Linked DNA regions of Styela clava. The protein of the gene in region 1 purifies or fractionates together with the protein of each later gene. This does not show direct contact. Links are inferred from orthologs where the notes say so. Each region holds a gene or a part of one and is shown on either strand. Other genes may lie near its edges.

Region 1 (7,634 bases):
GCTAATTCCCGTGCATAGTCAAGGGTATATCGCACGTAGTGCGTCTTTGCAACAATATTTAAAACTGCCGTTCTACATAATTTAAAGATTACCAAGCTTTCGCTTCAACGTAACATCTCACAAACGATGTTACGAATTTAATTTTATATAAATTTTCGGAACAAAATGAAACGAAGGATACAATTCGTCCAACTAATCCACAATGTTTGGCGACATATTTTCAAGATAACATAATGGGAGCCTAATAGAAAACGTCGCCTCTCCTTCAAGTCGGTTAAGAAAATAGCTAACGATTAAAATAAGAAAGATGCAGCAGGAGTGGCTATGTGAATCCCTATTGGATAGCGAGGAGTCAGTCAAACAATCCTCTAGCTCGCAGGGTAATAAGTAGTCTGATAAATGTGTTTTAAAGTTTATCAAGTAAAGTTAATGACGCTTTCTTTTTTACACAGCAGCACGCAAAACACACGGGAGGAATCCGAAAGAAAGCAAATGCTAGAATGTATTTGAAACATTCGCCACGATGAGCAAACTACCAAGCTAAAACAATATCAAATACTAACCTGACATAACCTACGAAACAGAGCAGGTTGCGAGCGATGGCAAGAGTGGCCCTAACACCTAAAACGTGCGTAAAACAGGTCAAAGCAAAACTAGTTTAGAAGTTGATAAATTGAAGTGAAAAGCTGATAGAGTTCGGGTATGAAGTTAACATTCCAGATACATGACATGTTTTTTCAGTAGATTTTTATAAAAATAAAACAATATTACATAACGTTAGTTGGCGGAATGTGAGTCAACACACGTACACCGCTCTCCAGAGGTTTCGCCAATATCAGCATCTTTCTTGCTTATAGAATAATGTTAGATACTCACATTTATTTCAGTTACTCAAATAAAAATTTGACTCCAGGTTCTTTCGGTACAGCATTCAAAAGAAAAATTTCAATTCTACTGCAGTCATGGAAACTACAGTTTCCTCTGTGTCGTCAGAATGGATTAGATTATGAAGTAATAATCAAATCATTTTCTGAGAACATTGTTGAAATTTAAAATCTAGCAACCTGAGAACTAATCTAAATTATAAATAATTCAAATAGGATAGGAATTTCACATTTTTATTTCAATTTAGAAGATAGTCGATACGGCGAACCACGGCTTCCCTCCCGGTTAGTGGTTCAAGGCGGTAACCGGTTACGTGTATTTGTTTCAGATGCATGGGTTTGAATGTAACTAACATTTGACAAAAAGTACCTCAGAACTATTACAAATGAAATTCCTAAATTTATTTATCTGTCAAAAAAGGTAAAAAAAATATTTCTTTATATGCCTGACTGGTACTCAACCATCCATATGCTTGCTTTTCGATGGACGTCATCAGCAATACAAGCCATCGTGGAAGCAATGGAGAAGTTCTTGTCGGTGCTTTCCCGTTTCCAGGTTGCGTCTCTGAGTTTTTGTTTTTTTTAGTTTAAATTTTAGAAAATTCTAGATTATCAAGACTGGAACTGCAGTTCGGTATCTTAAGCATTACAGTACGGTACATAGATTACATCTTTAAGAATCGGAATGTTGAAATCAGGAAATGGGTTCAGTTTTTAATAGCCGATTTGACACCATCAGACCATGTCAGTATGTTGAACTAAATGAACTGGTAACAAATACTTTCTAATGGAAAATGAATTCAATGCCTAGCCTACCGGTACATGCTGGGTATTCACAACTTGCAGACTTTTTACAACTTTTTAAATGACTTAGCAATGGGACAAGGCCTCTTGGTAAATCTGTAAATATCTGAATATTAAAAAACCGAAATACCGGTTTGTTGTTTATGCCTACTAGATTGAATTCCCAAACATATAATTTAATTCAGTATTTATCAGTAAATTTTATACAATTTACAGTTGATAGATCTAAACATAGATTATAATATTAATTTGGAGAAAAGAAGTAAAGCAGCAAAATGGTGTTAGCAGATCTTGGTCGAAAGATCACGGACGCTTTGCGTTCTCTGAGCAATGCAACCATTATCAATGAAGAAGTTTTACAATCAATGCTCGGGGAGATATGTCGAGCCTTACTCGAAGCAGATGTCAACATTCGACTCGTTAAGCAGATGCGAGAAAATGTCCGCTCAGCGATTGATTTCGATGATATGGCATCTGGTTTGAACAAGCGTAAAATGATTCAATCCGCTGTATTCCAGGAGCTTGTGAAACTTGTCGACCCAGGTACCAAAGCATGGCAGCCAACAAAAGGTAAAGCTAATGTAATTATGTTTGTTGGTCTTCAAGGTAGTGGAAAAACAACGACTTGTACTAAGCTTGCGTATCATTATCAGCGAAAAAATTGGAAAACATGTCTAATCTGTGCGGATACTTTTCGTGCCGGAGCTTTCGATCAGTTAAAACAAAATTCAACGAAAGCTCGTATTCCGTTTTACGGCAGTTATACTGAAGCTGATCCTGTGATTATTGCGCAAGAGGGGGTAGAAAAATTCAAAGAAGAAAACTTTGAAATCATTATTGTCGATACAAGTGGAAGACACAAGCAAGAAGATGCTCTTTTTGAGGAAATGTTACAAGTATATAATGCCGTTGCGCCTGATAATGTCATCTTTGTAATGGATGCCACAATTGGACAGGCATGCGAATCGCAAGCAAAAGCATTCAAGGAAAAAGTCGATGTTTGTTCTGTTATCATTACAAAACTTGATGGCCATGCGAAAGGTGGAGGTGCACTTAGCGCAGTTGCAGCTACAAAATCACCGATCATTTTCATAGGTACTGGTGAACATATTGACGATTTCGAAATGTTTAAAACGCAACCGTTTATCCGAAAACTTCTTAATATGGGTGACATTGAAGGCCTTATCGACAAAGTTAACGAACTGAAATTGGATGAAAATGAAGAACTATTAGACAAATTGAAACACGGACAATTCACTTTACGAGACATGTACGAACAATTTCAAAATATTATGAAAATGGGGCCATTCAGTCAAATTATGAGTATGATACCAGGATTTAACGATTTCATGACAAAAGGACATGAAAAGGACTCGATGGAACGACTAAAAAAACTCATGACAATTATGGACAGCATGACAGATGATGAACTTGACAGTAAAGAAGGAGCTAAACTTTTCACTAGGCAGCCAAGTAGAGTCGCAAGAGTGGCGAGGGGTTCTGGTACGCTACCTAAAGAAGTCAACGAGCTTATGATGCAATATGGAAAATTCGCGCAGATGGTCAAAAAGATGGGAGGCATGAAAGGACTTTTTAAACCTGGCGGAATGGATAAAAATGTTAACCCGTCACAGATGGCCAGACTTAATACGCATATGGCAAAAATGATGGACCCAAGGGTTTTGCATCAAATGGGTGGCATGCAGGGACTCACAAACATGATGAGACAGTTTCAACAGGGTGGAGGGCCTGGTGGCAAATGATTGATTTATAAGTAAGAATACAATTTAAAATAATATATTCTAAAGACTAAAATCGCAATTGGAATATGGCTTGCATGAAAGCTCACCAGATTACTTGAGCATACTTAGGCTATATATGAAAAGTTACAGTGTTTTGCTATGTTTAAACTCATAATGCTCATTGGATATTTAATTTTTTCTTATGCTTCACTTTTTTAATAATTGATGATGTTGAAGAGTATGCCAATAAATAGGATTTATTCCCAATGGTCCTTTCTAGGCCCGGGGTTCCCACAATTGTACAAATATAAGGGAACAAACTTCCCAAGGATTTTGACCCAACGTTGAAAATGATGTGATCTGATGATGTAAATTTCCTATTGTTTATGTGTTCATGTCATTGTTGAATTTTTTTATCGGATTGTAAGCAGATTTTAAACTATCGTTGGTTTTCTAGAGATTAGGATATAGAGGAAAACCGGATCGATATTAATTACTGATGTACCGGTAATACAAGGATAAATTCTTGATTTTTGTTTTCATTATGGGAATTTTGGTGTTGCTGTGAATCAACAAGATTTCTTGTTTTATTGTACATTTATTTCATGTGATTGAAGGAAATCATGCCAGTTTTATTCTTTATTCTATTATGAGTTTTGTTTCATGGCGCATGTGTTTGCAAATGAGACAGAATATTATTCGCCGGATATTTTTGTGAAAATATATGGAATTTGTATATATATATATATATGTACTGGAGAATACCTTTTTAAGCAGTGGAGATTGCATAATATTTTGTTTTTCTCATGATCTCATTCTTACAATGCTGTGGACAAGCAGAGTATTATGGACATGACAATAACGAGGAAATTTAGTTTGACAACTAAACAGTCGCATTTTTGTAAATTTTGAAGATTTGGTCTGAATATCACCAAGCCAGGACCAGTTTCAATTAAATTTAAAATATTTTCTCATTATTTATTCTTGCGACTACTTTTATTTACATGCTCAATTGTGTTAGTGAGTCATGCTGAGTGATACTATAGCAAGCATGGCTATGGACTCCCTTGAGGCCTAATTGAGCTAATTAAGAATACAGACGAGACTCAGGGGTTGAAAATTTTGAACCTTCTTGTCACGAAAATTTTCATGGCGAAAAATAAATACTTTGCAACCCTTTTACCGCCGTGGTGTAATTAGCCACTGCTGTGAATCATAGAAGTAATTCTCGCTCCAATACCATAATAAATTGACTTGATTAAAACCCCAATCTCTCACATTGCATCCCTAGCGATGACCAAAGTAACTGGTAGACTTGCACATTTTTGAAAGAGTGCACATTACCTTTAAAAAATATTGTTGCATTATTCTGTGTATGTATATTACGGCTTTTTGATCAAGAAAACTGTCTCTATATTTCAGATTTATGAACTATAGATGTTGTGAACCAATCATTGACATGTCATACTCAATCGAACGATATTTAGACATTTGTCAGGAATATGTGGGAGAGGAAAACATGTTGTATTTTGTGTTCGGAGTTTCGTTCATTATTTCTCTCCTATTTTACCTTGTATGGAAACTAGTTGCTGGCGGAAAAGTCAAGCGACGTGGAATTTTATTCGTCGGATTGAGTGGTGCCGGGAAAACTTATCTTTTGAGTAAAATACTAACTGGACAGGAGATTGAAACTGTAACATCGTTGAAAGAAAATCAAGCAACGTACGCATCAGAAAAAGGAGCTCTTAATATCATTGATATCCCTGGCCAAGAAGCAATCCGGCAAAAGTTTTTTGACCAATTTAAAGATACTGCAAAAGGAATTATTTTTCTCATTGACAGCGAGTCGTTTTCTAAGGATTTGAAAGATGTTGCGGAGTATTTATTTAATATTTTGACCGACCAGAACGTCTTGAAATGCGTGCCGCCTCTTTTGATTGCATGCAACAAGCAAGACCTATTGACTTCAAAATCAAAAAAAGTAATCCAAGATCACTTAGAAAAAGAGTTGAACACAGTTCGGAAAACTAGATCTGCGGCCTTGAGTTCGATTGATGGAGAAGAAGCAACTGTGCATCTCGGTGTAAAGGGGAAGCCATTTGAATTTTCTCATTTAGGAAAATTGAAGGTTGATTTCATTGAATGCAACGCTAAAGGTGACTCTGAAAATGAGTCTCGACTTGATGAACTATTACTTTGGTTAAATAGACAGGCATGAGTGTTTATAGAGCAGCCTTTTCTCAAATTTTTTTTTGTTTTGGAACACCAAGAAATTGTGAAAAGGGTGATAGACTGGCTCAAGGTCTGTCAGCCTGTATGTTGCCATTTGTGAAACAAATTTATGACCCAAAATCGAGCAATTTAGATTCGAGGCTGTTCTGTTTCCACAGAACACAGTTTGAGAAATTCGGATTCACTGATTGTTGGAATCCATTTTCCTTTGTTTTTTGGTGGTTGTTTAATAAAAGAATGAGTGTGAACCTATATTAATCCCAGTTGCAATTATTGCTTTATTCATTTCTGAGAAATCTTTTCTTTGTGGAAATATAAGAGAAGGAACTATTATGGACGTTTGCTTGTAGAGAATTCACAGGGGAAATGCTCGCTGCAGAGCAGGTTGGTTCAAAAAATTCTAGGTGTCCAAAGGGAAAATGTGTGGCTACATTAGTCATTGGGCATGTATGACCTTACGACCATTTCGCTAAATTTTTTTTTTTTTTGGAGAGAAAAGAGGCCATATCCACCCTACAACCTGTTGAGCATGTAAATTGGTAATCCTAAACACTGATTATGGGCTGCTACAGACAATAAGTTTTGCTGAGAATTCAAACCACATAATGTCAAGTTCATGAAATCCTCCCAACAAGCACCATAGCTAAAAAATATTTCACCAGTAGACTCACACCTACATAATATACAGGAAGACACAGATTTAAAAATTGTTCTAAGATTTCTACAATCCTAATGAGTGCCCAAAGAAGATCAAGTCACATTTATACCAAGATCAGTAATATTTATATTCAAGACATTGCGCAGATGGAGAATTTATTCGCCGATGATTTTTACCTCAACTCATAACAGAGCGGTATAGAACTTTCAATATTTATTTCAAAAGAGATGGTACAGAGATCATCACTTGTATAATCATGCTAGATAAATGAAGAGGCTTATTTAATTCACTTCGCGAAAAATATGAAAATCAAAATTGATTGAGAAGAATTTTAAGATTCAACAATCACAATTCAGAATCGTATTATACATATATTTCATCATGATCAAAAGGATCTTAAGGCCATTGGAAAAACACATGCCATATTCTGATACATTCGTTAGAGGTATTATACCAAATAACCCTAAATTTTAATAATAGTAAGAAGTACTAATTCCCACTTGACAGTTCTGCCAACACTTTGCATAAATTACATGAAAACTGATTGCAATTTTTTCAATAAAATCATTTGAACATATTTTTATTCTTCTGCAACAACTGTATTAGTTATTCTCCCAATTCCTTCCACTTCACAGGTGATCACATCACCGGGCTGAAACAAACAACATGATTTATGAAACATTTAAGACTTCATTATATTTAGATAGAGCATTGCCCCCAAATACTGAAAGTTCGACAAAAACTCCCAGCCGTAACCATGACGACCATGCATGGGTAAGGGAAGAGGCAAATGGTTAGAATGAGTATATGGAGTGAGATTTAATGTATTTTCTGGGTTAGGCAGATATAAAACAGGAATATGTTTAGAGCGGTGGTTCCCAACCTTTTATGCCTCATGGCCCCCTTTAGGAGGCATTTAGCACTGATGGCCCCTTGTTTATCATTCCAGAGGTATTTATGATGTTATTTAGATTGGTAGATTCCAAATCCTATTATTTTCAAACAATTCTTGCTCAACAAAGTGAAAGCACCTTGTAAAATAACCTCAGCAAGCAAGACGGGGAGTTTTCTAGTAAAAGTAACATCAGTTTTGCGCTTTCTGGCATGATGGTGCCCCCGCTGGTTTAGAGCAATAAAATATAGTGGGATTCAACAAGTACACATAATAATGAGCATGATCTTACAACTAAGTGGACTAGTCTATAATAGCTTCAAAAGCGAGCAGATATTGTCGAAATTGTTCATGAAAACTTCTAAGTCTTACTTGAATTTATAGTATAATAAAAACAAGAATGTATAATTGAATAATGATCT
Region 2 (8,198 bases), on another chromosome or scaffold:
TAATGGTATTTCACGATCTCTTATGGCCATTGTAGTTTGAAATATGAAAAGTTGTTTTCACGCCGTTTTTAGGTTTTCTGTTCACGTATCGTTGGAGGCTGGACAAAGACATTGAACTTATGTTGGGAAGGAAACCAATGTGGTATTTCAGAATCTGCTGGGCTTTTGTTACACCGGTCATGCTTGTGGTAAGTAGCCAATCAGTGTGAGGCTAGATTTTAGTAGGTTCTAACTATAATATTATACCTCTGTCATTGTCTGATTTCAATGGGGCAAAAGGCAAAAATGGAAAATAGACTACAAAACACAGTAGATGAGAGAATTTGCTCAAACTAAAGTCAATGCAAAGTTACAGGTAACCACTGGAATGCAAAGAGACTACAATTTCATGTATGAAGGTGCACTCACTCAAAGGGAAGATACTCTTCTTTGAGCTAAATCACAGGGGCTAATGCTATGCCAAGAGTTATGACTATTACTTTCAGTCCTGACACTGGGGAAATAGTTGTCGAAATGAGGTGGAGTGATTTTCAAATTAATTTACGGAGTCGAAAGGTCATTTGATTGACACTACAAGAATTGAAAGTTGAATTTTAACATAAACTGAACTCGAAGATTGCAGACGATATCGTAGCCGAACTTCATTATTATTGAGCCGTATTGTTTGTATCTGGAGTCATAATTCTGAATTTTGTTTACCGGAGTCGGAGTTTCTGAGCATATCGAAGTCGAATGGACATGAAACCATTCTCCAATAATAAAGGCCCTGAACTTCCAAGTAACTGAAAACTAATATCTCAATTTACAGTTCGTCATTGTGATGGCATGTCTCAGCTATGGACCGATATCGTTGTCTGGAGAAGTATATCCAAAATGGGCGGATGACCTTGGTATGTGCATGTCAGTTACAATTGCAGCGGTTGTGCCGATATATGCAGTATATGCGATGATAAAAGCTGTGGTAAAAGGGGATTCGATTAAAGATGTAAGTATGTGTGCCGTGTATGCATTTGGTTTATCTCAGGAAAAGGTGCAATAAAATTTTTGATAATACGAGCCCATGTGGAATTCATTTGACTTTAATCCTTCCACTTCTATAGTACGCAATAGCTCCTGTCCCAACTTATATGGATATCAATCGTCGTAATCTGTTACATGTTAAAATAATTCTGCAAAAATACAGCAAAAATTAAACCACTTCCAATACAAAACTGCAAGTTTTTGATTGAAGTACCTTGTTAATGGTACGTGTCGCACAGCCATTTAAAACATAAAGTTCGGTCACTTTTTATCGGATGCCATTCTTATTGTCACAGCTGTTCAAGCCGGACCCATCGTTCTGTCCAGCTGATCGAACCATTGCTTACGATCATCTTCATGGAGCTGTGAATGATCACAAGATGACTGCTTATGCCGTCAGTCCGTCTTCTTATCAACAGAAAGTGGATGATTCAATTCCAAACGCTTATCCTGAATTGTAAAGAGATACGTTTCTCATAATATCTAGTCCTACTAATACTGAAACTTAACTCCCCTAAGTCAGCAGTAGAATAGTTCTAAAATATTGCATTAAATCATTTCTTTCTACTTTTTCTATGATGTAAAAAAGGATCGTAAATGAGAAATACGCGGCCGCGATATTGTAACTCCGTTATCAGTAAAAATCAGACTATCGGAAAATCCCCTAGGATAATTACATATCAAATAATATTAATAAGCTGTAATGGGCAGTAAATAAATATATAAAAGTGATTTGATGGTAATTCGAAGGGAAATTGTACAGAAAGAAATCTACCGCTATCTACACTATTTCCTTCGCTCGAAAGTGCCGTTCCACTTTATTTTTATATTTATTATGTGCGGTGGGTGTATTCAGTATAACGAAAAAATAACTACTTGTTACTAATCACGACTTTTCCTACGTTCTATGAATATCAAATTGACAACGGTGAAATATACTGAAAACGGTGATATATACTGAAAATAGATGTATAAAAAGTTCATTTTTACTTTAAAAATAACGTATAAGCTTGATTTTTTATGAATGAAGCGAAAACGAGTGTAAAAATATTTGTTTTTTTTTGTTTGCTGTTGTATAGGTATTTTTATACTATACAGTGCATACAGATAATGTAACATAGTAATTTTTATATATTCAAATATATGAATAAAATACATAACACTTTGCACAGTAATGCATCTTTATTTCTAATCGGATTGTAAAAAGAGCGGCAAAATATACAGTAGGTATAAAAATTTGCCAAGAGACAGGATTGAAGTTCATTGAATAATAAATTATTTCATTATAAATAAGCGCACATGATTCAACCGAGATTGACAAAAGTTCTATTGAAATAGCAAATAATATTTATATACATAGATATGACGGATATAAAAGAGGTCTAGCTATATTAACAGCAACACACTTTGGTATTTTGATGTTCTAGGTATTTTTCTTCTTCATTGGTGTACAATATTCAGTTTATAGTGACATAAACAACTGAGTTGCAGATTGCTACAGAGAGTCGAATAAGTTGAGTGAGAGCATTGCTATATTTTGTTCATTTATATATAAGTGCAAAGAACACGACGAACCACAAAATTTAGAATAGGCTGAGGCGGCCCGAGCAATCTTCCCATCCATCTGTGGCTCTCCAAGTGGCCACGTGACGCCTTATTTCATAGCCAACAGCAAACCAGTGCTCACCGGGGATCTCAGTAGTATTGACTATTGCACATTTTGACACTACAGAATCCCTGTCTGTGGCGCGAATCTCTTCTTGAATATGGCGCAGGAAAGCTTCATATGAAAATACACCTGCGAACCAATTTCCCGTGGAAAAATTATCAACGGCGTGATGGAATATTCTTGAAATCTCTTCATAATCTGCCCTCCCAGATTTTATGAGATTTGTGATACTTTGGAGTAAGGACTTGAAGTTCCCATCCTTCGCTCGGCCCAGGCAATGTCGCAGTAATTGCTTTATGAATTCGATAGTAAGACGATGTTCGTGGCCCATGTTGCCAGTCTCTCCGGAAGCATCCACAAGAAAATATTTCAATTCTCTAATTCTTTGAAATAAATTAAATGCTGCATCGATAGGTGTCAATTGATGTGACAAATGAAAATTAACATCGAGAAATTCGATGTTTCGAACGATTTCGCAAATTTGAACATCATTAAGACGAATCGCTCCTGTGTTGCTGTGTAAGCCGATCATGTAATTAAACATCTCTATCACTTTATCAGGAGTATTAAAAAGTGACGGGTTCGATAATTCGATTTCCCAGTCAGGTTTACGAAGAATGAACGCACTACATATTGAGATATAACCGCATTGATCTCGTCCTTGTTCATTCGGGTATAATTTCACCTGGCCGTCAAAATACTCCAGACCGATTTTTAATAAACGTTCTCTCAGAAGATTCAAAGCGTAGTGCATAGGGACCGAGTCGACTAATACGAACGTCCCTGAATATTGTACCAAGGCATCACTTTCCGGCTGTATTGAATGACTGTGCAATGTTTGAGTTTGTGCAATAGAGTTATTGGTCGAAATTACGGGTATTGTGGTTTTCCGATGCATGGAAGCGCACGTATTCTGGTTCACACGTATGTCCCTGTGCAGTGTTTGCGTAACAACAGAGTCATTGGTTAAAACTTCGGGCATGATATTTTGCCTTTCCACATATTCGCCCGAAGCGCTTGGATCCGAATTGTTTTCATCGTTCCGATTAATAAATCTTAGCCCACTAATACAATTATCTGTTTCATCGCTCTCTTCGTCTGCCCGTTTCGCTAACAAAGCAAAGTTTGCATTGTCATCACTACTTTCTGAATGTGTACGTTCATGGGCCATTGCGAAAACAGCTCGAAGTTCAAACCAGTGACTGAGACACCGGCCTTGCCGATAAGGGACACGTAAAATATCTCAATAGCACAATGAAACATAATTTCCTCCACACGCACGAACTTGTCCAACTCTAGCCCTAAATCTGTGACTGCTTTCTGAAACCCTCTGTGCCCATTGGTATTTCGTAACAAAAATTTCACTTCCTGTTTCATGTAGGTGTCACATTCAGGTAAGATCCGTTCTGGCTGAGTGAATAAAACTATACGCACACACACAAATATCCTTCGATACCGCCTGCCATTTAAATTTTGCCAGACGATAAATAAACACAGTATAATAATCGCTAATTCATTTATACAGTGCCATTGTATAAAATAATATAGATGGATGGAATTTGATTTTATGCGTTCGTAGGCCGTTCTCATTACATACAAAAACACCACAACACAAAAGCAATGAGTAACAGAAGGGATTTGAGAAAATTTAGAAACACATATTTTGCGATCGACATCGTCACACTATTGATGACCGGTGACTTTTCAGGTACCCATGTACTCTCGAAATTTCCGCGTGAGTTTTTATTCACTATAATATTATTCTATAAGTAATCATTATAATCATTTGATCTAGTTTCATTTTAATACGTGGGTAAACACAAAAATGAAAAATATCATTTCGTTCGATAACGAAAAACAAAAAATGGTGGACAACCGCAAGATGCTTAATTAATCTGGCATCATCTGAATTTTCTAACATATGGTTTTAATTCAACAATATGACGTTGAATATTTCGTGTCATATCATAATCGAAATAATATAACACGCCTAGTAGAACACGCGTCCAATTTCCCTTTTGTAAAAAGTAAAATTTTCAAAAAGAGTTTTGCTTAATAAATACGAATATGTTTTAAAGGACACAAAACAGATAAAACTTAATTTAGAATTAATTTTTAACACGTAAAATCAAAAATTTACTGCGTGCTCAAAATACATTTTAATAATTCACCTAATAAAAAATATCAACAGGAACACTAATTTTTACGCGTGGGGTTAATGATGAAATTTTCTTATTGTGGTTATCTTTATTCAAAGCGTTATAACAAGCTTATTAGTCCGGCTGTTTTCAATCTGGTATATTTCCTACTTCGGGACTTAATTTATTCGAGATGTTGGACTTTTTTACTATTTTGAGTAAAGGTGGATTTGTGCTTTGGTGTTACACTTTTCAAGGCATCAAGACAAATATATCAGAGCCAGTTAACGCCCTGATAAAAGGTGTTATTCTTCAGGTAACGATTGGAATTTTTTAATTCTATGCATCTGCGCGTCAAGCACAACTAGGTACCGTACCGAGCTAAGGATTATTTGAAATTCCAAGTATAGAATTAGCTACTACTTTGTTTTTGTAATTTTTAGTCAGAGGCAGAAACCAAACACCTACGAACAGTACCGGTAACAATGTTTCAAATCTGCAAATCAGAAATAGGTAGTTAAAGTTTGATTGTTGTATACCGGTACCTGTCCGTACCTCCTGCCAATTTGCCATTGTTTAATGTGTAAATAAATGCTGGAATGAGGGGTATAGCGAAGTACACGCCGTACCATACTGCCATAAGTGTCTAAATAATGCCAAACAAGAATGTTATGTGAAAATGAATGCTGTGAGGGCTTAAATAACGCAAAACGAAATATAATATCTGAATGTAAAAATAGAACCCAAATTGCAATAAATATACTGGTAAGTCTGTCATGTCGGAACGCACAGTACCCATCTGGCATGCCCTGTTTAGTTGAAAATTGAGTGGTTTTGATTTGACTAAACGTGTCTGTCAAGAATTCTATTCTTCACAAAACAGATGTTTTTAAAAAAACACCAAAATTTCATATCAAATTTTTGTTTGGCATTATTTGACTAAGCAGTTTTGGGATCTATTTTACATTACATTTGTTTTGACGTTATTTAAACACTCAAGGCATGTACTTTGCTAGACCTGAAATGGGAGTAGTGGAGCTTGGAAAATTCATTCCCATATCATATTTCAAATTTGCATCATTTTCCAGATTTTCCCAAACTTTTTTGTGTTCATTGTTTTTTGTATGGTTTTTTTTTTTTCGGGGAAATTGAAATAAACTTATACTATACTTATCAATTCTCCATATTTTCAGGAGCGAGGTGGAAGTTCTCGCTTTGATCATGGATCATTAACATTAAAATATAAACTTGACAATGAATTTGAACTTGTGTTTGTGGTAAGTTGGATAATTCATTTTGTATATGCTTTTTACCTCAAACCCAGCCCAGGTCTAGCTTATCAGAGGGATTTCATTTATTTTACAAAGCTTGCTTACATCATGAAGATTATGTTTTTAATAATTGAATATTTTTTGTTTTATTCATGGCAATGTTGAGTTTTGTAGTATAGATTAAATTATATAGCAATGCGGGATACTAGGATGATAACATAATATCAGATATGACCATCTCTGTTTATGGTATCCAAATCTATTAATATTCATATTTTGTTGATATCATACATGCCACAATCAATTTATGGATTGCTGTTTCGTTCACAATAAAACTACACCATTTCTCCTTTCTGATTAATTTAAATAGTTGGTCTATTTGGTATTTGTATATACATCATGATTTACAGAGAAAAAAACAGGATTTTTATCATCTGCATTCTCAAATATACATATTATCCCAGAACACTATTATTTTTAAACTTCAGTATTTATTTTTATATTTCTCTATTTTAGCATTCATGTTTTACATTCGTAGTTGGGTCCCATGATCCCAAGTTTCGGTTTTTCCAGTTTTAGTTCTGTGATCTCTGGTTGACTTGATATGTTTTTTGTTTTGCCATTAGGTTGGTTATCAGAAGATTTTATCTCTGACGTATATTGACAAATTTATCGACGATGTCCACCGTACTTTTAGAGATCTTTACCGGCAAAAACTGGAAAATTCCGGTTTTATCAAGTTGATCAAAGAGGAGTTTGAATATGGAGAAAAATTTCTCAAAATGTTAAAGTAAGCCCATAATTTTTTTTCGAGATTTCCTTATCACTATGCATAGCAGTTGCAGGTTCCAATCTCGTAATGAGTGAATATGCATGATTGGATCACTGGAATTTCTGACAGATTTTATCGCCCATGTCTCTGAAGTTTATTTACATCCCACTTATTCACGAATTATGCTCCAAACAAGTTTTTTGCGGGCATCCTAATATCTAATGGTATGTAGGGAGCCATTCTTTTTGTAAGTACCAAAATCTGTAGAATTTGGCATTGCCTATCAATTTATTACATACTGTGTAAGACAGTGGGCACAGGGTTCAATCCCAAGATTTTTAACCTGTGATGTCAGCAGAGTTGAGTCTAACTCAGGCGGGTAAGGTTTTTAACCAGGGGCTGGTGGGTCATGTAAGTGTGACGTAAAAAGTTACATTTTATGAACAATATTTACAGTGTTACAAAGCAAAGGTGGAAAACAATATGCCTCATGCGAAAACTAAATTTAACCGCAATCTCAACAAATTCCTTGAGCTATTTTTAGCTAAAACATTAAAATTTGATTTCAGTTTGGTTGTGGCAGCTTTAGGCGGGCCAGATTGAATTACGTAACGGGCTGGGTTTGGACCACGGGCTGTACTTTACCCATGTCTGGTCTAACTGCTTTGGCATGCCTGAGATAGGGGACAACTTTTTAAAATGAATATGGCCCTCTCGTTGTGTACATATATTCATATATCTGTCCATGCTTGTCTTATTGCTAGTTTTAGTCGAGTTATAAATGACGTTAAATAATGATATTTCATCAGGGCTGCTGAAGCAATTAAAGTGCAAACTAAAATGAAGGATTTCCATGAATCTGAAAAATCTAAGAAAACTGTCAAATCATTGAAAATGGACAAGAAAGAAAAAGATAAAAAAGTTGAAAATGAAGTTGTTGCTCCAGTTGTTGCTAAAGGTTGGATTGTTAATCGATTTTTACCCTCAATGTCGACGATTTTAAACTAATTCCAAATTGTGAAGTATCATTCTTGAGTTCTATCATCCATTCATATAGGATCCCAACCCCTTTCCTGAAATTCCTCTCTCACTGAGCATAAAAAGTACCAATTTATTCAATCTTTAATTGATTCTTAGCTGGTGTTATGCACAAATCACACTTCCTGTTTTTGTACAGTCCAGTTTATAGTGTATGAAAAAATAGGTATTATAGTAATAATAAAGAACTAAATCATTTTAGTATTCCCCAGGAACGCCGAAATTCCTCCCTGGAGAGATTCTTTCCCGATTGGGAAATGTGGATAAATATATTAGACTATGATCCTATA
Region 3 (8,197 bases), on another chromosome or scaffold:
AGGCTCTTGCATTTTTGTATTTTATCGATCAATTTTAAAAGTAATAATTATGAACCTATACACAAAACAAAAGAGTGACAATTGGACAATCTGGGAGAAAGCAAAAACGAAATTTTATGGACTGAAAGAGTATCAATCCTGCAATGATAGACATTTATTATAAAATCGACACTTCATTATTTGAATGCAACAATTCTAATTTCTATACATACACCAGGGGGTGCAGCCAGGATTTTTTACCGGGGGGGGGGGGTCACATTGGCATTAAAAATGCAACAAAGGTACAATGCACGGCTCAAACTGAGAATTGTGTGTCGTTACCGGCGGAACGCCATTGAATATATTCCAGTATTGCTTGTAACTCGCCTCGCAGAAATTAAAAATTACATTGCATCAAAAAAATCTTCAAACGGGGAGGTTGGGGGTTATGACCCACGTAACCACCTCCCACTAGCTTCTCCCTGACATACACTACAATCTGTAATAAGCAAGTTCGCACAAATTCAATGAGCATTAGTTAAATAAAACATTGCACAACAAATCTACTCTTAATGTAATATGAAAATGAATTGCATGGTAGCAAACCCAGTATTACCTTATGAACATATAATTCTGTACTTTCATAACAACATTTATCAAAAAAAAAATAATAAAAAACATGAACAGTATTATTATGTTATTCAGTCACAGATAATAACAGCACAGCAAGCATGAAATAGTCCTTATGCGAAATAATAGAAACATCAAAATATACTTGAACACCCTTCCGTTTACTATAACACTTGAAGATACTTTGTGTGAACCAAGGCAGAGGAGCCGTAACATTATGTTAGAGGTAAAGCTAAGCTTACCATAATTGGCTACCCAAAATTTTAGTGGCTTCAGCTCCTAATTATTTATCACATTTATACTTCTTACTCTTACAAATAACAATATTTTTAAAATTCAATTTCTAATATTAATTCAAAGTTCCGAGTTGAACTTGAGATTGATTTGCGTTGATATTTTATGGTAGTGATCAAAACAAAAAACACCAGTGGGTAGGAAGCTGGAGCCCAGCCCTGACGTGAAAAATTATCTCAGTTCTGTGTGAACCACATTGAATAATTTAGCAGTTAGCAACAATCGTTAAACTGCTAGATAAATTCCAGTTACCACCCATACATCTGTTTCAGTAATTCATCAGTCCCGGTTTGTATATTTCTTCCTACTCAGAAAAGACATGATGCAATCCATAAAAAGGCCTAACTTCAAAATAGCTAATCCATGCTAGATGCTATATTAAATCTGACCAGGTAATGGATTAGGATTTTCTGTTATGATTAACACTGACATTTGAAAATCATTACAACCAGGGCTGGCCAAAAACGAATAGCCTACCATTTGCCTACACAAAGTTCTGGATGAATTTAATTTACATATTCCCTATTGATCTCTATCATTCCTATTTATATGGATACAAAAGTTCAAATGACAAATAAAAGTGTTTTCACAAAAAAATAGAGATTTAACTTTTATTTTTTAATGTTCTCTTTTATTAAAGTGATATTGGTCTGATAATATTCGAATCGTTTTCAATCTCCTTTATGCCAAATCAGATGAACAATAAAATTGAACTAATACAAAGCAATTATGATGAGCTAGCGGTATATAATCAATACACACCGAACATTTCCTATTCATTAGGACAGAGACATACAATGAATAAAAATCGCACAATCTGGAATTCTAGTGAAATATACCCATGAATCTTATATGGTTTTTGTGAAAACGAAAAATTAATCGTAAACAGAGAAAGTGAAACAGAGAAATTGATAATGTGACAATCACTCTACAAATTCATGACTTTTTTCAATATCATGAGTTAATCTATAATTCCTATTTATATGATTACATGGGTCAAGTACCAAATAAAAGTGTTTCAAAAGGTTCCGATAAAAATAGGGTTCCAAAAGACTCAACAGAGAAAACAAAAGTTCAGCAAATCGATGTACATGTACACTTTGTGTCGAATTGCGATAGTAGTAGTAGTTTTTCTTAAGCACTATGAAGTATGAATAATATGAAACCGTTAGCTAATTGAAAAATTTGATTTGTAGGTTTTTTTTATCAAACACAAATCCAAAAATAAAGATTTGCTGTTCAATGCAAAGTTGATCGAAGAATGTGTTTGACTTAATTAACAATCAATAACAAAAAAGCACAAGGTAATAAACAACATATTTCGTATCAGCTATGTACATTAATAAAAATCGAACCCCACTGTAACTACGGTAGTTAAAAAATAATTTACGCCAAGTGACGACTATGAAGCACTATACACCATGCAAGACACTGCCTACTTTTAATATCAGATTCTCAGTTGGAGCTAGTTAACCCTAGTGTATGTTATCATTGTATGAAGCAACTCTTATCAATATGTCAATATTTTCAATTACTCGACTTCTATTTTCATTTTTTATTTCACATAATGCATAGCTATTATTATTACGTAAATAATTATAAAGTTCTCAGATTTTAATAAATGAATGTCCTTTACAATTATTCTATTTTAACATAAAATTCTTCAAAATATTTAAAAAAGTGCGGTCGTTTTTTCCCAGACTTACCGTTATAAATTAATTACGATTAAACTGACAATCACAATCTCATGCATATAATAACCAGAACATTAATATACAAGCAATTCCAAGGAAGATTCTCGACAGCATTTGTTCATCTTGATAATTAGGGTTATCTGGCCTCGGAGGGGGAGGTCGGCCGTCATTTATGTTAAAAAACGTTCCGAAAAGTCCAAAGGGAAAAGCACCAATACCGAATGACATCTGAAATCCGCCATCACCAAAATTAAATCCGTGAAATCCATTCCTATTTTCTGGCTCTGGTCTCTGAGCTTGTGGCCTTTTAGGAATCTTATTCCGTGGATCTTCCTGCTTGGTGCTACCTCGTCCGTAAAGAGGAATAACTTTGTCTCTATCGATTCCAGCTTTGCATACTGGGCATTCCTGTCGATGTGGTCTTGTTTCCAACCATTGAAGAAGACATGGCCAACAGAATAAGTGTCCACATAAACTAATGACAGCATCATTAGCTTCATCTAAACATATATTGCATTCAAATTGGCTGTTTTTATTCGCAGAAGCATTAGATGGTTCACTCGATGAATTTTCTCCATTTACTTCTTCGGATTTTGGTGTAGACTCGGCCATTGATATGTAATGTTCAGAAAGTTCTAAGTAATTAGTTTGATTCTGTCGAAAATATTAAGATGATTATGAAATGTCGTAACCTAAGCATTCGTTTTTAATAATATTTGTTCACAGTAAAAAAAAAGTAAACCTAATCATTTGCAAAAATTTACTCCTAAGTAAAGTCAAGAAAAACGACACTCATATAGATGAAAATACATAAAGTTTTTTGCTCTTGTCGCTGTGTTTAATCTTTGGCCATTTCGCTCATTTTAATGCGCATAGCCGCATTCTCTTCTCTTGCCTGATTTGAAACGTACACATTTTAGATTAAAATGGTGTTGTTAATGGAAGTGGTCATGTTTGCTCACTCAAAGGTAATAAATTAATTGAAACATGCGCGCACATACATACATCTATACATACAGACATACAATCACGCAGACAAAATAAAATCAGAAGGGAAAAAAAAAGAAAAACATTAGACCGCCATCGGGTGCGAATGTGGTATTAAACAGTGGAGTACCGGAGTAAGAAATTTCAAGACTAAAACTTGGAAAACCGGACAAACAGGATTGAATACAGACTAGCTTGTATATCATTTATACATTGGAGCTGCTTTAAAAAGATTTGCGTTGATCATTTGTTGACAGCAAGCTCCGGAATGTTGGACTTTGCTAAGACTAAAACATTTACTCCAATTTCTACGTATTCGAACCAATTTTGTAACATACAGACATACGAAGCAACGCCCAAAACTAGTTTTCATGTTTGTTGTTTAGCTTTATTTGTTTACAAAAAACAGCAGCTAATCAATTATTTGTTATTATTGGTATTCACATTTCGGCACAGGCACCGTCACATAACTATTTGTTTTTATATTCTACACAGCTTTCACTCATCAAAATTAGTAAGCTTCGCCCGTGAAATTCATTTTCTGGTGATCATGTACTTCGTTCATTAATTTATTCTAGTATGATTGTCATGATGTGTAATCATTTTCCTGTTTTGCCCATTTTCCCGACCTTCCAGTTGCCCTTGTCTGTGTTTTGTTATTTTAATTTGTGTTGTAGACGAAAGATCGAAATAAGGATAGGATTCACATATTTATCTCGGGAGAGAGGAAAGGAAACAAGACGGCTAATCATATGGCGAACCACGGCAGCACGGCCTCTCGTCCGGTTACCAGTCCAGGTCGGGTATGGGATTAGTTAGCCAGTTATTTTGTTTTCGAAGCATGGATTTGATGATGAAGGAAGCCAGGAAGCAGTAAACGACCAGCGGTTACGTGAACCACCCTATGGCGGTGAGGAGTCCAGCAATCCTCTCGCACATGATCATCCCCGCATCCGCATGGGATTCAAACCTGCGAACCCACGCAGGGTGCGGTACCGTAAATCAGAGATGTGGTGGCGAGTGTATTCCTAACACTTAGCACGATGTGCCACAACGTCGAAGTAAAATTGTACCGCACCGTATATTAAGATACCGGTACCGGTACCGGTATAGACCTACTATTACTGTATTACTTCTGCACTTTAGTACCGGTACTTGGAAAAAGAGAAATAGACAAACGAAACAAAACAAAGAAAGAAAATACAAATTGGGTCACACCATATTCCAGTATTCGGCAGGATGCCAGTATTCAGGTACCGGTACCGTAATACAGTACGGTGCCGGTACCGGTACAGTACCGGTATTACCGTAATACCTAATCTTGTACCGGTAAGGATTGTCGTTACCGGTACCATAAATCTGTAAATGCTGACGGCTTCCTCCACCACCAAGTCCATGCTTCCGAAAAACAAACAATACAGTAAAACTAATCCCATACCCGACTTGGAATGCTAACCGGACGAGAGGCCGTGGTTCGCCATATGCATAAGCCGTCTTATCGGCTTTCCTCTCCCCCTGGATAAATATGTAAATCCTATCCTATCCTGACCAAAACCACGCTTGGGATTTGCCAAATATCCAACTGAAATATTATACGAATCATCGACACACAATCTGAACCTTCAATCACAGTTAACAATCTTACAGATTCTTAGATATGAACAGGATGAAAGCGAGCAGTCGCAGGCATGTGATCAACAACACGTCATAAATTCACAAAAATTGATCACGGTCTGCTCGACAAGTAGAATCACATGAAAGACAGTCATCACTGAGTTTTTTGGTCATTATTGGACACGAAATCTAGATAAGATAGACTTTTCCCCGGTCCTTCCTTGACCCCTGAAATATTCTCCCTGTACTTTGGTTGAGCCTGGCTGGATGTTTGTGACCTGTCGGATATTGGATTAAGTTAGGGTTGCCATATTTTCGTGACATCAAAGCAATGGACCTTTCCCCGAGCATGGACTTCCTTGTTTACTTCGTGACATTGGCCAATCAGCAAGATGCAAAAAGTGACGTAACAATGCCCCCTTTTCGCATTCGCTCAGACACTTTTCTCACTCAGACAGATTTTCAAGCGTGATTGTAAACATTACCTCGTTTTCGCGTTTTTGAACTCTATTCGTTAGTTTTCAGTTGTGTTTTGGGAACTTAAATAAAAATCAGATAATTCAATTCAATTCAATGTTAGTGGAAACAAATGGAATACAAAAATTAGAAACAATCAACATCCTAATTGATGGACAACGAAATAATAGACTACTTTGGCATTGCTGTACAGGCTACCCAAGATTCCAATTTTACATATTTGCTTTGCAAAGAACTAAGGAAAAAGAGATGGACAGGCATTTTCTATGAAACATTGCACCTAGCACACTACAGCACATCACAACGTCGGATTTTATTTACAAAGAGGAAATCAACCAAAAGACATTTCGATTTATTTATTACTCATTCTGACACTGCTTTTATCTAACTCACTAGTTCGCACTTGTTTACGCCAATTTAATAAACACAGCCCGAATCATGTCCATTTCGACGTAAACAGTTTTAAATTAGAACCTACGCACCTGCATTTTGTTTGTAACACAAGTTAGACGCCCGGACGTTGGAACGATAACACGTTCGTGTTTTTATCTTTTTTTTGTAATATGTTTGTGAGTGTAATATCATGGGTGAACAGGCACATGTATTTATACGTGTTTTAAACCCTACTCGAGGTTTTGCCTGTTTTCCCGATTTCCCATTATTCTGTGTGTTTGTTTTATGTGTTCATTATTTGTTATGTGTATGTTTTTTTGGGGAAATCAAAATAAAGATTATTATTATTATTATTATTATTATCACTCTGTCTTTCTAGGAGTTTTAATTTAATTGCAGTAATAAAAATTAGGCTGTGATAGACTAGCCTGAAATTCTTTACCGGTACTTTTAAAAAACAGATTGTTGTATGCGATGAATCATAATGATGGTTTGAAACACATACCCCATTTTACAGACGCCAACTCGCAAAAGCACTCTTGAAATAGCCTTGACAATTTTGCAATGGTAAAGTATAGGGAGAATTTTCCGAGGGTCAAAGGTCGGGGAAAGGTCCATAGACATCAATCATGATGGCCATGGGCCGAAATCTGTAAAGCGCTTAAAAATCGAATTCGTGGTGACCCTCGAGGGGGAACCTAAATTTTGGTGGGTCAAAATGCTAAAAGCCTAATTTACTAAATATAAAAAATTGACATCTCCAAAGTGGAGCATTACGTCACAATTAACGATGACGTCAATTGCCCTTTCAACCCATATATACCATATAATATTCTACTTAAACCTGAGATTTGTACGTACAATACCTTCTATTTTTTTAGCTTTAAATTTTACATTAGGGGCCTACATTTACATCCCCCCCCCCCCCCCCCCACGGCTGTCTTCATTGACTATATTGTCATCGAAAGTTCATGCGACAAAACGTTGAAGTTATTCAATTATGTAACACGATAAATACATCTGCTACAGATTATTACATTAATAAAATTTGCACAGAAATATGAATAAGTTACTCGTTAAATCTTGTATCCATTGATTATGTTTGTTAGCTTCATTTAAAATTCGCCTTTCCGGTTCGTCATGAAAGCGCTCCGTTAAATCTCCCACGTGTCAGAAGCCTAAAATCGACACCGGTATTTTTTTGTTCTTCGTACTTTTTATGTACAGTGGTTATTAATATTTCTCTGTTTATACCCGAGGCCGTAAGAAAACAGTCAAGAACAGTATAATATTCCACGGCTTTCCTTGGCATCCAGTAAGATATGAACCTGATGTGAGCCTACAGGAGGTCACGATACCCGCAACAAAAGCACGGGCCGCAGAGATCTTTTCTCGATTACAGTATACCCAGCGGGATTTCGTGCCTGATTCCAAATCAAAGATGTGTTTAGTTTGTTCCCAAGTTCTTTTCAATACTCACTGCGGACATACGTACTGCAGAAACTTCCTGATGCCTCGTTTGCCTTTTATATTGGAAACGAAACAGAAGCAAAATTCTCACTCGTGTTAATTGTGTCTGAGTATGATTTGGCATGGACCTGCTTTCTTTATATAAAATGTTTTCTGTGTGCTTTTTTACCCATAGACGAACAGTGAGTGCCCGACGTTGTATTTATTGTGCATATATATGTTATTATTTTATGTTTAATTCATGAAATATTTTGCCAATCCTCGAGTACATTTTAATCAATTTCACCGGCCCGTCAGGGTGAAAAGATTGGGAACCTGCTCTAGATGAAGTTGGGACAGACTATTTATTACCACAGCTTATGGCGACCCACTTAACTTTAATTTGATTTTTTTTATGACATAACACAGCAATGGCTAATCATCGCAAAACTAACGTGTTTCCTCGAAATGAAGACCTAGTCTGAAAATAAGATAATAATTTGAATTTTCAAAATGATTTTAATTAAACCCTACCCTTAAAATAAATTTAAAATGTGTGGAAGAGGAAAGGTTCATTGGCCCGAGGTAAGATAAAGATCACACCACTGTTCAAGATTGTGTGATATCACAATTATGATATTTTTCACTTGATTTTTGTATAGGAAATACAAATAAAAACA

What was found. Proteins that work in one complex are often made in the same cells at the same time.
Region 2: the proteins of signal recognition particle receptor subunit beta-like (region 1) and signal recognition particle receptor subunit alpha-like purify together in Homo sapiens (affinity purification with mass spectrometry; 6 studies listed by BioGRID and IntAct, counting the BioPlex papers as one, with this or other methods). This does not show direct contact. The link is inferred for Styela clava from reciprocal best matches to the Homo sapiens genes SRPRB and SRPRA.
Region 3: the proteins of signal recognition particle receptor subunit beta-like (region 1) and E3 ubiquitin-protein ligase RNF185-like purify together in Homo sapiens (affinity purification with mass spectrometry; 3 studies listed by BioGRID and IntAct, with this or other methods). This does not show direct contact. The link is inferred for Styela clava from reciprocal best matches to the Homo sapiens genes SRPRB and RNF185.

Annotation. Positions count from the first base shown.
Region 1 is NC_135264.1:14,566,837-14,574,470, reverse strand, and holds signal recognition particle receptor subunit beta-like, read left to right. Parts: upstream 1-4,852; 5' UTR 4,853-4,856; coding exon 4,857-5,648; 3' UTR 5,649-6,739; downstream 6,740-7,634. Other genes in the region: signal recognition particle subunit SRP54-like, read left to right, coding at 1,964-3,451; oxaloacetate tautomerase fahd2, mitochondrial-like, read right to left, coding at 6,901-6,972. UniProt on the Homo sapiens protein: Component of the signal recognition particle (SRP) complex receptor (SR). Ensures, in conjunction with the SRP complex, the correct targeting of the nascent secretory proteins to the endoplasmic reticulum membrane system.
Region 2 is NC_135253.1:18,724,949-18,733,146, reverse strand, and holds the start of signal recognition particle receptor subunit alpha-like, read left to right. Parts: upstream 1-4,934; 5' UTR 4,935-5,020; coding exon 5,021-5,143; intron 5,144-6,020; coding exon 6,021-6,104; intron 6,105-6,724; coding exon 6,725-6,888; intron 6,889-7,679; coding exon 7,680-7,828; intron 7,829-8,198. Other genes in the region: sodium-dependent proline transporter-like, read left to right, coding at 73-188, 809-985, 1,317-1,481. UniProt on the Homo sapiens protein: Component of the signal recognition particle (SRP) complex receptor (SR). Ensures, in conjunction with the SRP complex, the correct targeting of the nascent secretory proteins to the endoplasmic reticulum membrane system.
Region 3 is NC_135251.1:12,014,076-12,022,272, forward strand, and holds E3 ubiquitin-protein ligase RNF185-like, read right to left. Parts: upstream 3,265-8,197; 5' UTR 3,210-3,264; coding exon 2,649-3,209; 3' UTR 56-2,648; downstream 1-55. Other genes in the region: tumor protein p63-regulated gene 1-like protein, read right to left, coding at 1-12. UniProt on the Homo sapiens protein: E3 ubiquitin-protein ligase that regulates selective mitochondrial autophagy by mediating 'Lys-63'-linked polyubiquitination of BNIP1.